Linked DNA regions of Mytilus edulis. The protein of the gene in region 2 interacts with the protein of the main gene of each other region in a pairwise test. Links are inferred from orthologs where the notes say so. Each region holds a gene or a part of one and is shown on either strand. Other genes may lie near its edges.

What was found.
Region 1: the proteins of E3 ubiquitin-protein ligase DTX4-like (region 2) and beta-arrestin-1-like interact in a two-hybrid assay, tested with the Drosophila melanogaster proteins (2 studies listed by BioGRID). The link is inferred for Mytilus edulis from reciprocal best matches to the Drosophila melanogaster genes dx and krz.

Annotation. Positions count from the first base shown.
Region 1 is NC_092346.1:87,675,007-87,685,239, forward strand, and holds the start of beta-arrestin-1-like, read right to left. Parts: upstream 4,426-10,233; 5' UTR 4,411-4,425; coding exon 4,352-4,410; intron 1-4,351. Other genes in the region: serine-rich adhesin for platelets-like, read left to right, coding at 4,906-4,923, 5,105-6,439.
Region 2 is NC_092349.1:2,896,908-2,906,816, forward strand, and holds the start of E3 ubiquitin-protein ligase DTX4-like, read left to right. Parts: upstream 1-5,570; 5' UTR 5,571-5,576; coding exon 5,577-5,823; intron 5,824-9,909. Other genes in the region: coiled-coil domain-containing protein 92-like, read right to left, coding at 774-900.

The DNA.
Region 1 (10,233 bases), on a different chromosome or scaffold from region 2:
AATTAGCTCAAGCCTCTAGCGATTTTTATTTTATAATGATCACTGATGATTTTTCTTCCTTTCTTTGTTGTTTTGTTTCTTCATGGCCTACCACACAGACCATTTAAGAAAAAAAGATTAAAAGATTTGTTTTCGAATGGATGCAGAACACCTATATTTTGTTTACTTTTAGAAAATGTAAAACAAGAATTAAGATAAAACTTGTCCTGAATAAAATTGAGAAAGGTAATGCAGAATCTGTCAAAAAGACAACATCCTGACCAAAGAACCGAATTTTAGGTTTATTATAGTTTTTGTGCCGTATGAGCAGAGTTAATTCCATCCCCTTTCCACTTAGAAGATGAGTGGCCGGGATCTCTAAAACCGATTTTGGCAATTTTTGTAGGAGATTTAAGTAAACTTTTAAAGCATTTATAAAACAAGTTAAACATTGATTTACTGCTTACTGATGATACCCCCGTCGAAATATTTCGGTAAACAGGAAGTTGTTGAGTGATGAATCTGAAAACGCATCGCACGATATAACTGAATTATATAAACCCTGAAACCAAATTTCAGAAATCCTTGTAATGTAGTTCCTAAAAGATATGCGACGAATATATTCATGGGACGAACGGACGGACTGACGGATTGATTGACTAACGGACAGACAGAGGTTAAACAGTATACCCACACTTTTTTTTAAAGTGAGTGACATAATTATGAACTGATATGTGTTTCATACTAACAGTTTTAAACGCATTGCAAATTTTTATACCCCACCTACGATAGTAGAGGGCATTATGTTTTCTGATCTGTGGGTCCGTTCGTTCGTTCGTCCGTTCGTTCGTCCCAGTTCAGGTTAAAGTTTTTGGTCAAGGTAGATTTTGATGAATTTGAAGTCCAATCAACTTGAAACTTAGTACACATGTTCCTTAAAGCGTGGCAAAATAAAAGACGAAAAATTTCAGACAGACTTTCTTCTCTTTCGTACTTAATTTCTTGTAAGCAAACTCTCTCGTGTGATTAACCATGCAAGATTTTCCGCATTTGGCATGCATAATGTTGCGCCAAATATTAAATTATTTTCTTAGGTTCTTCATACAATAACTTCCCGTATTAAAAGTATAAAAGAAATCCAGCTGCGGAAAAAAACTTTTAGAAAATATTTAAGTGGTTTTTTTTTTACACAACATTGGTATTGTTTATATATTGTAGAAGGTTAATACGTGTATCATCACATATCGTGGTACTATGTATTAATGAGACATGGTGATGTGTGGGATTTTATTATATTGTTTATAAATCATTCCTCTCAAGACAATAAGAATATACAGCGTATGCCAAAACAAGCATTTGAAAAGTTTGAATAGAAATTTATCACAAGATTAAATTTTAAATCGTAAATACGGCATTATTTTACAGAAGCATTTATATGTAATATAAGAATATACTATTCAGTTCGCATGGATAACGCTATGATGTTTAGAAAAAATATTTCAATTTCAACGTGCAATTTATCGGTTTGTTCTACGTTACATTTTAGCGTTGACTACCGATAACGACGTCAAATGCGATAAGGGTGGTTTTTGCTTGACGGGCGTCATATATATATGAAGAAAAAAAAAGAAATGATGTTGCCTTAATCACAGGGTTAAAAGAGTCAAATTCAACTTGGTTTTGTTTAAGAAGCTTTCTGAATTTTAACATATCATTTGATATACATCTTAGGGATTCTGGTCGCACTGATTGTCAATAATCATTGACTGAGATTGTATGTGTAGTACCATGAAATTCAAAATCTCGTGCAGTAATACTTGGCAACGAATTAAAATATGAATGGACTTTTTATTTTGTGGTCAAGACAAGTCCATTCCCTTGCGATGAAAGCCTAATACCAAATATGTAAAAAGACAAATATATGCTTCGGTTACATCAACACTGCTTTGTTTATAATTCAAAATTTGAAAAAACAAAAGACTTCCTCTAATCCTTATGTTTTTACACACATGAGTGATTCTGTACTGGAATCATTGTAACTTTTAAGTACAAAATCAATAACTTCAAGTGAAAATCCTTTCTGTATATTTATTGATCAGAAGTCAGAATGAACTTTTGAGTATCATGATTTATATCTGCTGAATATACAATACTGACTCTTGAGAAATCTGGTTATCATGATTTTACCAAGATCTATATGTCAAGGCTGAGTTACATTACCCTTGGTGGTATGGAAGAAGGCCTAATAAGTCAAAGAACAGTCAGAACTATGTCTTGATAACAGGATGAGCTTATGACAGACTGTGGAGGTGCAATAAGACAATGAATTAGTCTGAACTATGTCAAAACACAGGATGAGCTTATAAGGGTCAGAGAGAAGGTGCAATAAGTCAAAGAACAGGCTGAACTATGTCTTTATTACAGGATGGACTTATGATGGTCTGGGAGGAAGTGAAATAAGACTATGAATTAGTCTGAACTATTTCACAATAACAGAATGGACTTGTATGCTACAAAATTTTCAATTCAATCAAACTAGAGGCTCTTGAAAGAGCATGTGTTGCTCACCTTTTTTGTTTGTTTTGTCTATCACTTCTATAAAGAGTGACTGTCTATTAGCTATATTATTAGAAATTGACTTCATTGTAGAACTTGCCTTGTTGATCATTGTAATTTTAAAGTTTACATGTACTGATATAAGGCAAAAAAACCCAAAAAAGTAACAGTTGTCATCAAAGGGCAATAACTCTACAAACTCTAATAAGGAGTTGATCGACGATGAAAACTCACACCATTTCTGCCCTTGTCAGATTTTATCTATTTATAACAGTTTCCAAAATAATTGACAAAACTTGCATTTCACCCCTTTGTTCTATTATATAGCCATGTTGGCCATTTTGATTTGCAAATGGGGTCATTGGACCCATTTTGTAAGCTAGATCCCCATAATGATGATTGTGGCCAAGTTTTGATTTTTGGTCCAATAATTTTAAAGAAGAAGATTTTTGTAAAAGTTAATGGTGTATGGCTGAAAATAAGAGACGATGGACGCCAATAGATGAGAAAAGCTCACTTGGCCTTATGGTCAGGTAAGCTAAAATTCAGAGATCTGTTACGGTGACAGTGTTACCTTCATCAATTAAAACTATAACCCAAGTATACAGAAAAGAATCCTTTAAACACTTGTCTTAAAGAAATATTTTAAGAGTTGCTGGACTACTTCACAGTGCAGGAATAAAATACTTGTAAATTAACTATATTGAATCAAAAGTTCATTTATTTTCAGGGTACTAATTTTTCGTGGATGAAGGAAAACTTCCATGTTCATGTATATCTAATTTTGTGGTTTTGGCAAAGTCTTCATACACGCCATTATAAAATTTGTCATTCGTTGATTATTTAATTTCTTGTTTCACCTAAATCCACAAAATCCACAAAATTTTGTATCCACTGAATAATAATGAATCCACAGGGTCTAAAGGAGTAAAATATCAGAGAAACCTACTAGTGTTTGAAGTCAATCATTAAGCACATGTTATCACACACACTTACATGCTTCTTGATGTGAACTCAAGAGGCAAGAGCTAGGTTGTTTATTTCTAATTAAGGCATTTTAAAAAGCATTGGATGAAGGTCAAAGCGACTATAATTTGCTGAAACTGAAACTGCATCCCTATACACCAAGTAAAAAAGTATAGTTTGATTTTGTTTTGTATGCCCAGGGATCTCCATGGATGAAAATTGAACGATGGAGGAACTTTCACCATTACAAACTGTGTCTACGCTGTACAGTGTAGCGCGATCGGAAGTATTTTATCCCTCCATACAAGGAATGGTGAACATGCTAATTCATTGCTTATTTAAATTATATTTATTTGAATTTTCATTATAGAATTAGAAGCATCAATATTTTCATTTATTGCCGTTTTTAACCATTCAAATGCCAAGTCTTCATGGTCCTCCCTTAGTCGAAAATGACCAAAAGCTGTCATGAAGGTACCCATGTAGATTTCTTGTATTTTTGGTAATTGTTATGGGGGTTAAAAATCATATGATGTGGAGCTTATTTTTCATGGACACTGTCAAATTCAGAACCCATTACCGGTATGGCTGATTTCCAGCTACAACAAAACGATGAAGTTTTGAACGATGGCGGAAGACAATTTAACGATGGCGCAAGTCATTTGACGATGGCGTAAGTCATTTGACAATGGCGCAAGTCATATGACGATGGCGCAAGACATTTGAACGATGGTGGGGCGCCATCATTAAACAGGCCATTGAGATCCCTGATGCCATATATGGTCTAAAACCAATTAGAATATAAATCAGAGAACATTACAACATGATACATGCCTCAATAGTAACCTACCTCATACTTTGTTCCATTATAATTTCAGTATCTATCTCACTTAATGAATTATACACCATTTTGACAAACTGACAATATCTCATACATGTACATAGAAGTACAGATGCTGCATTAATGCAAATGAATATCCAGCATATTTTGACTTGTGACATTCCTATTTCATTAATTTTTCACAACTTATTTGATTTTCATAGTTCATAATTTATCATGAAATCAATGGAAAATGTCAACATAATTTTGTTTGTTGGTTTATTGATTTGTGTTGTCTGCTTATGTAGTGTCCAGTGTCAAATATTTCATGACTTTTCATCCATGTTTGTTGGGACTTAACTTAACAAATTAATGTGTAGGAATTGAATAATAATATGATTTTTTTTATATATACATGTATGTGTTGACTTTATTAGTTACTTATATTAACTATTGTGCAGCCAACCAAACTCTTGTGAATGCAAAAAAAAACGGCTCTCAGAAAAAAGTGATGATGGCACAGACCATGAAACAAATACCAAATTGTTGGGAATGATATAAGACATAGTAGTAATTCTTAAGTGATGATTGTAGTAATCCTGGTGTGTTGACAGCTACTAGTAGTTCTTATAAGTTGACAGCTACTAGTAATCCTTGTGTGTTGATAGCTACTAGTAATCTGTATGAATTGACTGCTACTAGTAATCCTTATGTGTTGACAGCTACTAGTAATCCTGATGTCTTGACAGCTCCTACTAACAAGTATTCCTGATGTGTTGACAGCTCCTACTAACAAGTATTCCTGATGTGTTGACAGCTACTAGTAATCCTGATGTGTTGACAGCTACTAGTAATCATGCTGTGTTGACAGCTACTAGTAATCCTGTAGTGTTGACAGCTACTCGTAATCCGTTTGAATTGATTGCTACTAGTAATCCTGGTGTGTTGACAGCTACTAGTAGTCCTAATAAGTTGACAGCTACTAGTAATCCTGATAAGTTGACAGCTACTAGTAACCCTGATGAGTTGACAGCTACTAGTAATCCTGATGTGTTGACAGCTACTAGTAATCCTGCTGTGTTGACAGGTTCTAGTAATCCCTATGTGTTGACAGCTACCAGTAATCCTGATGTGTTGACAGCTACTAGTAATCCTGTAGTGTTGACAGCTACTCGTAATGCGTTTGAATTGACTGCTACTAGTAATCCTGGTGTGTTGACAGCTACTAGTAGTTCTTATAAGTTGAGAGCTACTAGTAGTTCTTATAAGTTGACAGCTACTAGTAATCCTGATAAGTTGACAGCTTCTAGTAACCCTGATGAGTTGACAGCTACTAGTAATCCTTGTGTGTTGATAGCTACTAGTAATCTGTATGAATTGACTGCTACTAGTAATCCTGGTGTGTTGACAGCTACTAGTAGTCCTAATAAGTTGACAGCTACTAGTCATCCTGATAAGTTGACAGCTACTAGTAACCCTGATGAGTTGACAGCTACTAGTAATCCTGGTGTGTTGATAGCTACTAGTAATCCGTATGAATTGACTGCTACTAGTAATCCTGGTGTATTGCCAGCTACTTGTAATCCTGGTGTATTGACGGCTACTAGTAATTCTGATGAGTTGACAGCTACTAGTAATTCTGGTGTGTTGACAGCTACTAGTAATACTGATGCATTGACAGCTACTAGTAATCCTGATGAGTTGACAGCTACTAGTAATCCTGATGATTTGACAACTACCAGAAATCCTGATGAGTTGACAGCTACTAGAAATTCTAATGAGTTGACAGCTACCAGTAATCCTGATTTGTTGACAGCTACTAGCAATCTGAATGAATTGACTGCTACTAGTAATTCTGATGAGTTGACAGCTACTAGTAATCCTGATGTGTTGACATCTACTAGTAATCCTGATGTGTTGACAGCTGCTAGTAATACTAGTGTGTTGACAGCTACCAGTAATCCTGATATGTTGACAGCTACTCATAACCCTGATGTGTTGACAGCTACTAGTTATCCTGATGAGTTGACAGCTACTAGTAATCCTAATGTGATGACAGCTACTAGTAATCATTATGAGTTGACAGCTACTAATAATTCTTGTGGTGACTTCTACTGAACAAACATGATTTTGTTAATAGCTAATAGTAATCTTTATTAGTTGACAGCTACTAGTTATCCTAATGTGTTGACAGCTACTAGTTATCCTAATGTGTTGACAGCTACTAGTTATCCTAATGTGTTGACAGCTACTAGTTATCCTAATGTGTTGACAGCTACTAGTAATTATTATTTGTCAATTTGTGTACAGCTACATGTACTAGCAATCAATATGTGCTACATGTAACTGCTACTAGTCCATAAGCCTGGGGTAATCAAGTTTATCTTAGGCATTCTACAGAGTAGTATCCATTCAAATTAAAAAAAAACATTACTAACAAAATGAAAAAATGTAATTGTATTTTAAAATTGATTAGACTTAATTAAATATTGAGCAATTTCAAAGTATAAGTATATATTTTCAATAGAGAAAGAGCTATAAATTAAGAAGGTACGTCTATCTCTGTCACTACCTCTCTAATGTCTGTAATTATATAAGGGAAGTGTTTAAAAATTTGTCTGAAGTTTAAATCTAATAACTATCCACACTGTACCATGCTACTATCTACATCATTTGGTCTCTGGTGGATAGATGTCTACTTATTTTTTTTTTATTTCAACACTGGTTATCTTGACTTTCTATTAAAGTACAAACCATCACAGCTTGTATCTGCAAGACTATTATAATTATTGTGTGGAATAATCAAGCTTGAAATGATTGTCAACTTTATTTAATATCTAAGATTTGACTTTGGTTTTCAGTATACAGTAAATTGTATCTTTGTCCAAATAATTCAATAAAGATATGAATTTTTATTTGTAGATCTGGCTATAGACAGTTCTGTTTGTTCAACACTACAAACAAACCTAAAATATAAACCTATGGTTGTGGTGGCTAATATGTTCATCTATATATATATATATGACACAGATATTTAATAATGGTCCATGGGGGGGTCCAACTATATGTTCCCATTTAAATGCATTGATAGTCCAAAAAAAGGACCCCAGAACCATCCCCCTGGATCTGCCACTGTTGTCAGCAAATGCACAATTTGTAACAAGTAATTACACAGCTGTAAACAATTACAAAGAAATGATTTAGTTCATAAAAAAACTATATCATTTTCCCTATTTAACCATTTTTAATTAATTGTTTGATCCAAGTTGGGTTTCCACTTGTCCATTGGTTTCTGATAAGGTTTCTGATAAGTTTATTTACCCTTTCTATAAGGTCAATGGCAGCTCAGTAAGATGACACATGCTACATGATGGTAATGGGATCTAATAGCCAGGCAGTATTATTAGCTTAAGTCTTGTAGTAATGCTTATCCCAATTTGTCTTAGAAATAGCAGTTCTTTGCCATTTAGCACATGTCAAAGATTTAATGTTTTACTTTAATTGAATAATGAATTTTAATCACCTGCGTATATTGTTGATATTTTTAGATTGTTACAATAACTACCTTCCTGACATGCTTTTCATGTAAACACCAATGTGCGAATGTATCCTCAAGGTTTCAACAAAAGGATATAAGTCTAGATCTGTTGTACAGTTAATAGACTACGGTATTTACCCTTTTTCCGAAGAAACAAAATCAAATACGAACATGAAACAATTCATTCTAATATTTTTATTAATATGTATGTACTTTTAAATATAGTTTGGGTTAAATGTGTAACCACTCTCATGAGGTTGTAAGAATTTTTAAAGCATAAGGATGTACAAATGTTCAACAATTTTGTTCCTGATCTTAAATGTACATCTGTTGTTGAGAAGACATCTATAGATTTGTCTGTATCATCAATAATCAGTGAAGTAATAGACAACTTTCACTCTTGATTATACTCACACAACTTGTCATTACCTTTATTAGATAACTCTGATGGTGTTTCCTCAAGTACAGTAAATGGCGGAAAATTGATTCCATTTCCTAGTGAGACACCAAGAGAATTCAAATGTTTCATCGTTTAGCTTCAAAAGATGCACTAATAAATTCTACCAATATACTGTAATACCATTTCTATCATACATTTTGAAATGCATAAAAATCTGTTGTTGTTGTATACAAATGTTGGAGAAAGATATGCATATTTTAAAAATATGTATATGTACTCATGTAACATGAGATCTTCCTTAATTTAGTCTTATTACTGTGCCTAACCGATCACCTTTGGGGTATTATAATACCTACAGTGTTACCTGGATAAAAAATTGTCAACACAATTTGTCCATTTAAACTGTACAATAGGTTTTGTGAGAGATTATCAATAGGTGGTCATTTAACTACCTGAAAAAAAAATTTAGGGCAAAAAACAACCAGGTAAAATCTACAGGTAGTTAAATGACCACCTATTGATAATCTCTCACAAAACCTATTGTACAGTTTAAATGGACAAATTGTGTTGACAATTTTTTTATCCAGGTAACACTGTAGGTATTATAATACCCCAAAGGTGATCGGTTAGGCACAGTAAATACTTATGCATGTATGTATTTGAAGATGTCACTCTTTATTCCACTTACATGTAGCATAAATAAAGTTTACATTTTCTTGAAGATAGAAACACTTCAACGACAATTTAACCGAAATACAATAAATGTTGGTGTCTCGCGATTTAAGGAGATAACGTATAATTGACAATAAGACAACTTTCCACCACACACCACAGAAAAAGTCACAGTATGGCCTTCAACAATGAGCAAATTACATTCCATCATAATGAATATGCAGACTAATTTTAATATGATGGGACCATGACAACCTCATGGGTAAATGATCTTGAACCAAAATATATTCTGATTCAAGATGCATGGACACTCCCATAAACAGAGGTCAAAACATATGACACCCTCTACTGTCATGACATGGACAGGGCATTGAAGTTAAGTTAACCTATTTAAGTAGCAATGGTGAACCAGATGCTCTGCAGGGCGCAGCTTTATACGACCGCGGAGATTGAACCCTGAACAGTTGGGGCAAGTATGGACACAACATTCAAGCTGGATTCAGCTCTACATTTGGATTGTGATTAAATAGTTGACACAGCTTAGGTTTCTGACACAGAATGAATGTGGTCTAATGAACTTAAAATATTTTTTTTGCCTTTGAGCAATTCAATATATGCTGTTGAATATTAATCCTCTCAAAAAAAAATTCTTTTTATTTATGAAATCTGAAATGAGAAAAATTTAACCCCCCCCCCCCCCATTTTTTTTCACATCCCCCTTTCCCTTTTTCCAAAACTTATCTCAATTCAAATTTTTAATGGAGTTTGCAACAATAACTACTCATTTAAATACATCATAAAATATTAAAATGTAAAATAAAGTGCTTGTTATCACTGAATGGTAAAGATTGTTTTAATTTATCAGTTGGTAGTAAAAGTGAATATACATTGTATATTGTATAAAACAATGCTTTAAGTTGATTCAACTACTATTCTGGACAAAGAAAGATAACTCCAATTGAAAATTTCTTGCTATTGCACAATATTGTGCAATTAGATATTTCTTGCTATAGCACATTACTGTGTAATTGAAAATATTTGCTATTGCACAATACTGTGCAATTGAAAATGTCTTGCTATTGCACAATACTGTGCAATTGAAAATTTCTTGCTATTGCACAATACTTAATATAATTTTGGATCCTGATTTGAACCAACTTGAAAACTGGGCCAATAATCAAAAATCTAAGTACATGTTTAGATTCAGCATGTCAAAAGAGCCCAAGAATTCAATTTTTGTTAAAATCAAACTTAGTTTAATTTTGGACCCTTTGGACTTTAATGTAGACCAATTTGAAAACA
Region 2 (9,909 bases):
TTAGTGAGAACCCTGGGAATGGTTTTGGCTCACTGTTAAACATGTTAACATCTAAGTTTTATGTCGTTTGGTCTCTGGTGTTGAATTGTCTCATTGGCAATCATACCAAATCATCTTATTTTTATAATGTGTCTGATTTTTCTTATTTTTACCAAAGTCAGATTTGCTTTTACTACTTAGTTTTTGATAGAAACTCAAACTGCATTTTACCATAATGTTCCACTTTAAGTCATATACAAAAAAACTTGATTTAGGTAAAGTTTTTACCTGTTTGGCCTCGAAGTTTCAGAAAACAAAAAAATTTAACATATTAGATTGTAAACAAAAAATAAGTCCTCAGTTTTATTTGTATTTTTCAAGCAAGACAGACTATAAGGGTTCTTTCTTCTATTTAACTTTTAAAAGTATCAATTTATCACATTAAGTTAAGTAGCTTTTATAAATATAAAGATATTTTCATGATAAAAACTAAGCACAAACATGACAAAGGAAACAACGATTCAAGTTATTTTTAAATCAGGTTTCATATGATTCAGATTGCCATATGGCCTTCAACAATGAACAAAGCCCATACTGCATAGCCAGCTAGTATTGCCCTGAAAGCACAAGTGTAAACATTTCAAACAAGAAAACTAACGGCATAATTATAGCCTTTAGAGCCTAACAATCGATGAAAACTATTGATTTTTATGTGAGTTGCAGGGTTGACAGATTAATGTCTCGATAATAAAAACTTTCATTCTAAACCAATTTTTTTTCTTCCTATCTTTTACCTGAACATTTTTTCTGAAGATTTTCTATTTCCTTGTGTAAGCCTTTTAATGTTTCTGCATGTTCTTGTTGCATAAACAGGATGGCACTATCTAAATTTCTTTTGTGTATTGCAGCTTCAGACGTCATGGTGATTGGTGTTAATGCAAGCAGGTAAACTGTTCAAACTGAAATGACATTAATTGATTAAATTATGTATACAAAATGTCTATATCTAAGTTTCATTTTTCTTGATTTAGCTGGTTTAAGATTTTTGAACACACATGACATTTATGTATATACAGTCGACTCTCGTTATCTCGAAGTCAGCCGGACCAGAGAAATATTTCGAGATACACATAGTTTGACTCAAACGAAAAACGAAAGTTTGACAGAACAAGGGACACAACTCTCAATAAATCTGGGTGAATATGGGAAGGGGATCGATATTCGGGTATCAGATCGATGTAATTACAGTATTTGTATGTCATGGTCTTTCATTATTATAATAACATTACTTTTACCTATTCAATTGTTTCAGTTACAATTTTTTCCTATGGCTTTTATCTGAGAGAGTAATTTCAATCGATAGTTTCGTTATTCAGGTTGTTTATAGTTGACACAACTGTTTATTCTTGGATACGAGAGATTTTAGAAAATTTTGATTTTTCTTCATTTTGTTTTATCTCACTCTTTCTTTTCAAAAGAAAATACAACAAGATTAAAGATGCTGATTGAGTATTTTTGAGGTGATCATCAACGGAAGTCATAATCCTTACCTTATACGTGACACAAGCTCATTAGTGTAAATCACAATTAATTGTTTTGTTAACATTTTAATACGTTTTCATGAACATTAACAATGTATCACTAATTATTAATAAAAATTCTATAAAAGATAATCTTATGTAAACACTCGTGGAAATACAAAATGTAGCATGTCATACATCAATATAGTGGTCAGTGACTGGAAATTTAATTACAATTACACGTGTATTGTCAGATTAACTCTTCAATCCATTTAAATGCTGGAGGTCATGTTTTGACATATGTGTATTAGTTCGAGATAAATAATGAATTCCAAATGCTTTTCTTAACCTAGGGATTGTAAATTTAGGTGGACTCAACTGAAATTTTGAGGAGTCAAATTCCATACATTTATATGTAACAAAGTGTGAGACCACCTGAAAACTTCGACGCATCTAAAATTTTGAGTCAACCGAGTTCGAGACGAGAGTTAACTGTATTTATATATTGGCGAGGGAAGAACAAAAAATTTGCGAAAGCAAATTTACAGATCTAACATTGTTGGGTTGATGTTTAGACGAGTTGTATATACATAATGTACACAGCCATGTATCACCATCACTGTTGGTGATCCGATAGATAAATCTGTTGTAGAGTTGTCACGGGCTTAGACGTACTTATATATATATATATATACAACTCATCTAAACATCAACCCAACAATGTTCGATCTGTAAATTTGCTTTCGCAAATGTTTTGTTCTTCCCTTGCCGGGATTCGAACCCATGCTACTGAGATATTGTGACACCAAATTGCCTGCACGGTAGTCTTCCCTCTAGACCACACAACCACCTGGGCTTCATAAAAATAAAGCTTTCGTTGGCCAGGTGTTACCTTTCCAAGTCAGTTTTAATCTAGCGTCGTACTATATATATAGCTACACAGTACATGATATATAAGGCATGGAGATGTAGTTTTTTACAGATCAGCTAAATTATCTATAGTAAAGGATCCTACAAATTAATGTTAGATACAGTCACAGAAAATAATTATATTTATAAGTACGTCTGAGCCAGTGACAACTCTACAACAGATTTACCCATCGGATGTATTAGAATAAAAATCAAGTTTATTTTCCTAGCAGCTAGACAAATAGAAAATACATTGTAGCTGTCTTATTCTTGCTTATTATTTTCTAGAACTTGACACCAATATGTATGCTTTGCATGATGTGCTTACTATTTTATGTCTTGTGCTTATCATATATATGTCAGTGTTCTCCCATGGCTGTTTTAGCACAGCGATTTTTAGCACTAATTTTTGGTAAGGCAGCAATTCTACAGTAATGAATTTTACCTTTTGAAAACAATTGAGAGGATATGATTAGAAAAACAAACCCCAAGCTGAAACGACTTGAGAAATTCTCGATGTCCAGCTTGGATGAACTTGAAGCCATTTGAATATTATATAACGTTAAGGTCAGAAAAATGACAAATCATTATGCTAAAAAATGTCAATTCCTGTCAAACGTTGTAAGGTTAACAGTACACTGCTATAATGGGTTACAAAACCATACACAGAAGATGACAATGACTTTATTGTTGGTCCTACATGTTCTGAAACATCACCTGTTAGTGATAAGAAATCTTCACATAGACAGTCTGGTATAGACCCATCATAGAAAAGACTTCTCCTTGGGTTTTTAACACAGATAATATGAGGAATTTACATAAAGAGAAAAAAAAGATATTTCTTCTACATGTATCATGTCTATATCCAGACAATAACATTAGCAAACAAAGGGGTAACTTCCATGAGCATGATGAGGACATCATTACAAGAGACAACATCAATAGCATTATATAAGAAAAACACAAATCAATTACAAACCAACCGCGCGCCGCGACAAAGTAACTGAGAATTGTTGAAAATCACATGCTTACCACAGTGCTATCCAAAAATCCTGGGGAGAACACGTACATTGTATGTACACATGTATGTCGAATAAAACCTCTACAGAGCTTATGTTATATTTTTGTATGTATACCCCACTTTAAATCAAACTTTTATGCTTATGCTTTGAGTATTTTTTAAATTTTGACTCAATGACTTTGAGATGATGAACAGCAATGAACATAATCATGATAATGAAAGGGCTGTTCCTTTGCTTTTTTGTGTGTTTTTACTGTGCATGTACTACTGATTTTGAGTCACGAATGGATACTCTATTATCCTTTTGTACTTTTGTTTTTCTATTAACCTGAAGATGGTTTTACACTAAATGATACTAGGTAAATCAACTTAATTGGTCTTTAAATTAAGTATTTATTATTAATATTATGCTGTCATTGAACAATTGTATCTTATTGTGATGTGTAATAACATAAGTAATCTACATGATATAATGCGACCTAGACAATCTATTCAAATAGCATGATTAGAAAAAATTGTCATGTCATTGACAGTATCTCACAGCAGTCAATAGTTTTACAATATAGGATAGTGAAATCTGACCTTGTCACACATGTTCCGTTTTGAATCCGGGTCTGTTCGCGCCCAATCACATTCGCACCCATTAACGTTCGCGCCCTTTCACTTTCGCACCCAAAGTCTGTTCACACCCTACACGTTCGCGCACAATTTTCATTGGTATTATTTGTATAATTTGGAATCAAGTTTTGGTAAGCATGGTAAGTGTATTGCTATATATAAATATTTGTTTTCATTGTTTCTACATATAGTTAGATTCTGACAACGTTTTCTTAAAGTGTTGAATAAATCTTAATGATGTTTAGGCAAATGTACTGCTCTATATAAATATATTTTTTCATTTGTTTCTAAATTAAGTGAGATGCTGACGTTTTTTTATGTGTTGATAAAATCTAAATCAGGTTTTGGTTAGTGTATTGCTATAAATATTTTTTTTTACATGAGTTCAAAGCAGCCAAGCTGTTAAAAACAATTATCTTTCGAGTTTTTGATTCAAAATCTTCAAAGTTTTACTCATACCAAGCTAAATACATGCAGTATTTACATCCAAGCAATTTGCAAGTTAAAACAACAATCATGATTTTTAAGCACTCAACAATAACACCAAATTTAGCTGTGTATAATTTACCAATTAGCAGTAATCATACATAACTAACATTTAATAATTAATCATAAAATTAATAAAAAAAGTTATATTTATTATATAAATATATAATTCCTCAAATTTTATTCAAGAAAATAGAATTATTTGGTATAAATTGGGCGCGAACGTACTTCGGGGGCAAACATGTGAGGCGCGAAAGTATATTTTGCGCGAACAGACCTGATACCGTTTTGTCAGACTCGAAGATGTCTGATGCCACAAAGGTATATAGGTAATTCTTGTATGACCTAAAAAACCTGGGATCACAGATTCTCATGTCAAGCGTTGCAGACTTCCAAATAACAATAAGGTTTATATAAAATATTTCATAAGACAAAGGGGACATTATTTTTCCTTTCAAATGGCAATGCCAATCACTGATCTGGGGCACAAATTATTCAAGTCAATAGAACATATGTTCAGGACCGGCTTCGAATTTTAACAAAAACAATGCCATTCAGATATGTAGCCTTTCCTCACAACGTTATAAACGGGCGACATATTTTGACAAAGAGCAAATTTTAGAACGATTAAAATGAACAAGGTCCGTCTGAGAACATAATTTCACATTCGTAATAAAAATCGGTTATGCCATGTGTTATTTAAGAGGAGGGAGATTTTACGATCAATTACTTTACATTCACGTCGATAGCATGTTCACCAATGCTTGTATGCTGTGAGTAAGCTTTAATTGGTTGTTTACTGTCGCAGCAACATTTTCAGTCCAGATGGTTTTCCTTCGCTACAAGAATGCCGCTGAATTGTGGGTAAAATGACACCGGATGTCATTAATTAGTTTAACAAAATATATAGTTGAGATAATCTACAGCTGAATGCAAGCATATTAATTTTAAATTCAAAGAAAACCTATATAGAAGAAGAAAAATAAGATAAAAATAGTTCTCATAGTAACGAGATGTAAACAAAACGCCTTTCGGGATAATTTATGCTTTTGAAAAGTCCAGAGGTATATCGAACAATCATGAAGATGTCACAGAGCTCAACCAACGTGATTGTTTGGGAGTGGATGAATGAATTTGGACGGTGGAGACCGTATGAACCTAACGTTACACAATACATAGAAAATGCCTATCAAAATAATTCCAATCAAGTAAACCTGAGTGCAGCCGACAGCTCCTTATCTTCATACGCCATCGATTTTGTCACCACTTGCCAGATACGACTTGGAACAGGTGTATAACCGTTTATTTTTTTTCCAGATACACAATAGCATGGGTTCAAAGCGGGACCTGTCAGAGTTAAATTAAACATGAATAAATACATACTTTGCCTTTGACACTATTCTTGCCCTGGTATCTAGAATAAAGAGAAATGAAACAGGAAAATTTTATGTTTCAGAAACCAAAACTGAAAAGCCTGACCATAGAGCCGTTTGAGAGGTTTCGATGTTCGGGCTACATGTCGTTTCAGCCATACATCACTGCGGCAATGTTTACTTTGGTCATTTAGGTTACATTATGGTTTTATTCCTAATGTCTGTGCATATATACTTTTCAATGTTTTTATTAACATATGATACAAATGTAGGTATGGGATTTTGTTAGTCGGTTTGTCTGATATCAGAGGAAAAATGGTTGGACATGTAACCTGGTAACAGCCATATTAAGCTTGTTTGACGGGACAAGTTCAATCATTCTGTAGAAAATAAATTAAATCCATCTTTGATTATATCAAAGAAATAATCAATTATTAATTCTAATATTATAACCTATTATCGTCAACCAGTATAATCACAATATACATGTATCCACCTTTAGCGCAAACGCAGTACTTCATAAAAACGACTGTTCTGCATTAGGACCAACTTATGCATACTGCCAGATATTCTCAATTATACCTAGGCCATGGTTTCAGATACAATATATTTATCTCTTTTTTTCTACAGCAAAATGAACAAATCCATTTCAATTCATTTTTCATGACCCAGTAGAATTTCATAAAATGAAAATTCCACGAACATGACCAAAGGATGCTATTGTCTTGGCATGGCAATGAAACAAGGTGACGTCACAAGTATGTTTCTGAAAACAAAAAATATTTTTGGGACAAGTTACATCATTGTACATTGTATAATTCCATTTTGACAAATAAGTTTTTGGTACATGTTGGACAAGTTGAAAAAAAGTTATTGTAGATCAAGAGGCCTGACAATGTTATAAAAGATATATATATAACATTTGTATAAATGAAAGTATATACATTGTACATGTATATCAAAGTGTCTATAAATATGAAATAAAACCTATGGCTGAAACCTCTTTTATTACGTGGCCAAAGGGGTACCCAGACAAAACTCCAAGGCCTAATCAACCAAGGACAATCCAACTCGCCAAAACTTCTTTACCCCCTTAGAGCATAAAAACAGCCCAGGCTTAAAGGGAAACTTCGCCAAAAAATCAAAAATTGATATTATGTTTATTCTGTATAAAAATGCTCAAATTCATAGATATTAAAGTTTTATTCTGCTAGATAAGAGATCACCATCGATTTTAAATTTAGAGTATCAATTCTCTGCTGTCACCCATTATGTCACCTTCTCCGATTTGCAGTCACGATATGTCTAAGGACCAAAACTACAGTAACCCGATGTAGTTGTAATTGAGTGTCGATATCTTGTCAATTGTACGGTTGTTTTATCCGACTAGTTAACTAGTTAACTTACTTGATACGGAAAATTTTCTTCTTTTCTTTTTAAATAACCATGATCTGTTATTTTTAGACTGATAATATAGGAATTTAATAGTGAAAAAGTCAAAATTTCAAATCATAAATAAGTCTTCCGTGAAACTTGAATTGTTTTCGGAAATCTAATTAGTTCATAATTCTTTTATGTAATAAACTTTATTCAAATAAATTAGGATCTTCGCTCCACTGATCACCCGCATGGCTAAAGGTATTACTCCCAAAGATATTGTAGGGGGTGTGAGATGACACGTCCAGGTATTCAAGCGATTTCCTGTCGAGTTTGCAAATTCATGCATTGTTTCACTTCTTAGTGTATTGATAAGTGTACACGCCCGATAACTTATAACTTTCCATTTTGAACTATTAGGTGTATAATATGGGCAGGAATTCGCTAGTGAAATTTTAGGGTCAATAGTGTTTATCCAATTAAAAAATAAAGAAATCATGCAAATATGGAGAATAAACATTGTTTAAATATCAAAGTGGGTTAGTCTTTATTGCCACATGCAAAAAAAATGGATCCAATTAAAAAAAATCAACAAAAAATCAGCACTTGTTGTGTGCTGGCAGTTGAAAACTGTAGACAAAAAGTGTGACATTTCTGCAGTGGCAAAACCCCTAGTCATATTTAGAATATGCCTGAAGAATTGTTCTACTATAATAGTTGAAAATCAACTGCAAAATGATCGGTCTATCATTTAGAAACCCCATTTTGTACAGAATCCGATTATTGCTGCAAATAAAATACGTTTGAAAATGGACAAGTGCATGTAACTTTTCCCGTCAACAAATGTTACATGCACCTTTTCATTAGCTGATTAGCTTTGGAAACAAGTTATTGGTCCAGCATGGCAAATTTTGAAAGGTGTCAACAATGGTTACAATTTGGATTTCATGATTTTTATCAATCAACTGAAGTTTGAAAAATATAGAAGGTAAGAAAATTTATTTCATTTTCGTGTCAATACTGCCCAATAATACTCATCTTTTTATAACAGTTGTATACTTTTTATAGTAAGCATTACCATAATTATTTTTTTCACATTTCAACCCACTGACAATTACATTAAAATGTGGCTTTGTCATCTTTCACACTTGGCATCTACCAGTGAGCAAGCAGATGATAAGAGAGTGGGACCAGGTTAATTTGACCTCACAATGAAGTGTTACATGCACTTTTTGTGTAAATTAGGTTCTTTGATAATGATGTGTGACTTGCTTTGCAATTTTGTCAAAAAATATAAGTTTATCTTGTATTTAAACAGGTTTGACCCTTACGATATTCATTTTATTGCTGGAGAGATTTCTGTACATAACATTGACACGAAAATATTTACCAAGGAAAGGTGTCTATGATACATGCAAAAGCTTTTTTTTGTACGGTTTGCCTTATCAATCTAATTTTTTACATGAAATACCACAGATTAATTGCCAATTTGATTAACTAGTACTTGTATTCATTCTCAGCATTATAAAGATAACTGGCCACTTAATTTGAAAACATAAAATGTAACATTGACACCAGAATAAAAACAATATTACTTTATTACACTTAAAGCATAATTGGCCAGTGCATAATATTAAATCAAATGTAAATTTATGCTGTATTCTTAACAGAGAAGTTGTTGATCTTTCTTAATTTCTAGACTTTACAATATTTACTTTTAATTCTTATCGTTTAAAGACATGTAACATTGACACATCTTCTGCGTCCAGGTTACATGCTACAACCTAATAAATGTGCATACAATTATTCAATCAATAAAATCTTGTTGAAATTTAAATTTGCTTCATTAAAATGATATTAAAGAAATAAATGAGTTTTAATTATTTGTGTTTATTTTTTTCCTGATTGACTAGCAATTTTTCCTCATCATTTGTTGGTGTTCCTGTCAATGTTACATACATAACCCTGTCCCAGAATTATAATGTTTTAAAAGCATTGATTTCCAAACCTCTGTTATGAGCTTTAAAATGAGGATATCTGAGTTTATAAATGACTAACATCTGAAATATTGTCATCACACAATTTCTTTGATGCTCCTATGATAACTTTATGAGTAACATGGACTACAATTTTTGCATCAGGTCTTTTTTGTGTTATATGAGAAGATTTTACTGTGTTGAAATCAACAGTTAATCTAATTTTTAATATTCAAAGTTAATATTATGATACTTATTTTAAAAAATAATGTATAAAGGAAACCCAAATTAAACTTTTTTTTCATTAAGAAATTGTGTATGTAACATTGACAGAGTCTATTATTTAGACTTTTACATGTTCAGGCCAGTGTTACATGCGTAAACAAAACTTACTGCCATATGGAGCTATTATCTTATTTTTATTTTACAAAATTAAAGCGTTTTCATGTTTTCCTGTTTAATTTGTCTTTTAACACTAGTTAGTAACATTGACAACAATATTTTGTGTCAAGATTTTTTTATGTTACATGCAAATGTATTACTTCCTTAAAGTCAGACATTTATATAACATTTTATAACCTAAATGATTAATTAGATATTACTGGGCAGCAATTATATTATTTCTCCAAAGTTGACTATTAAGCACACCA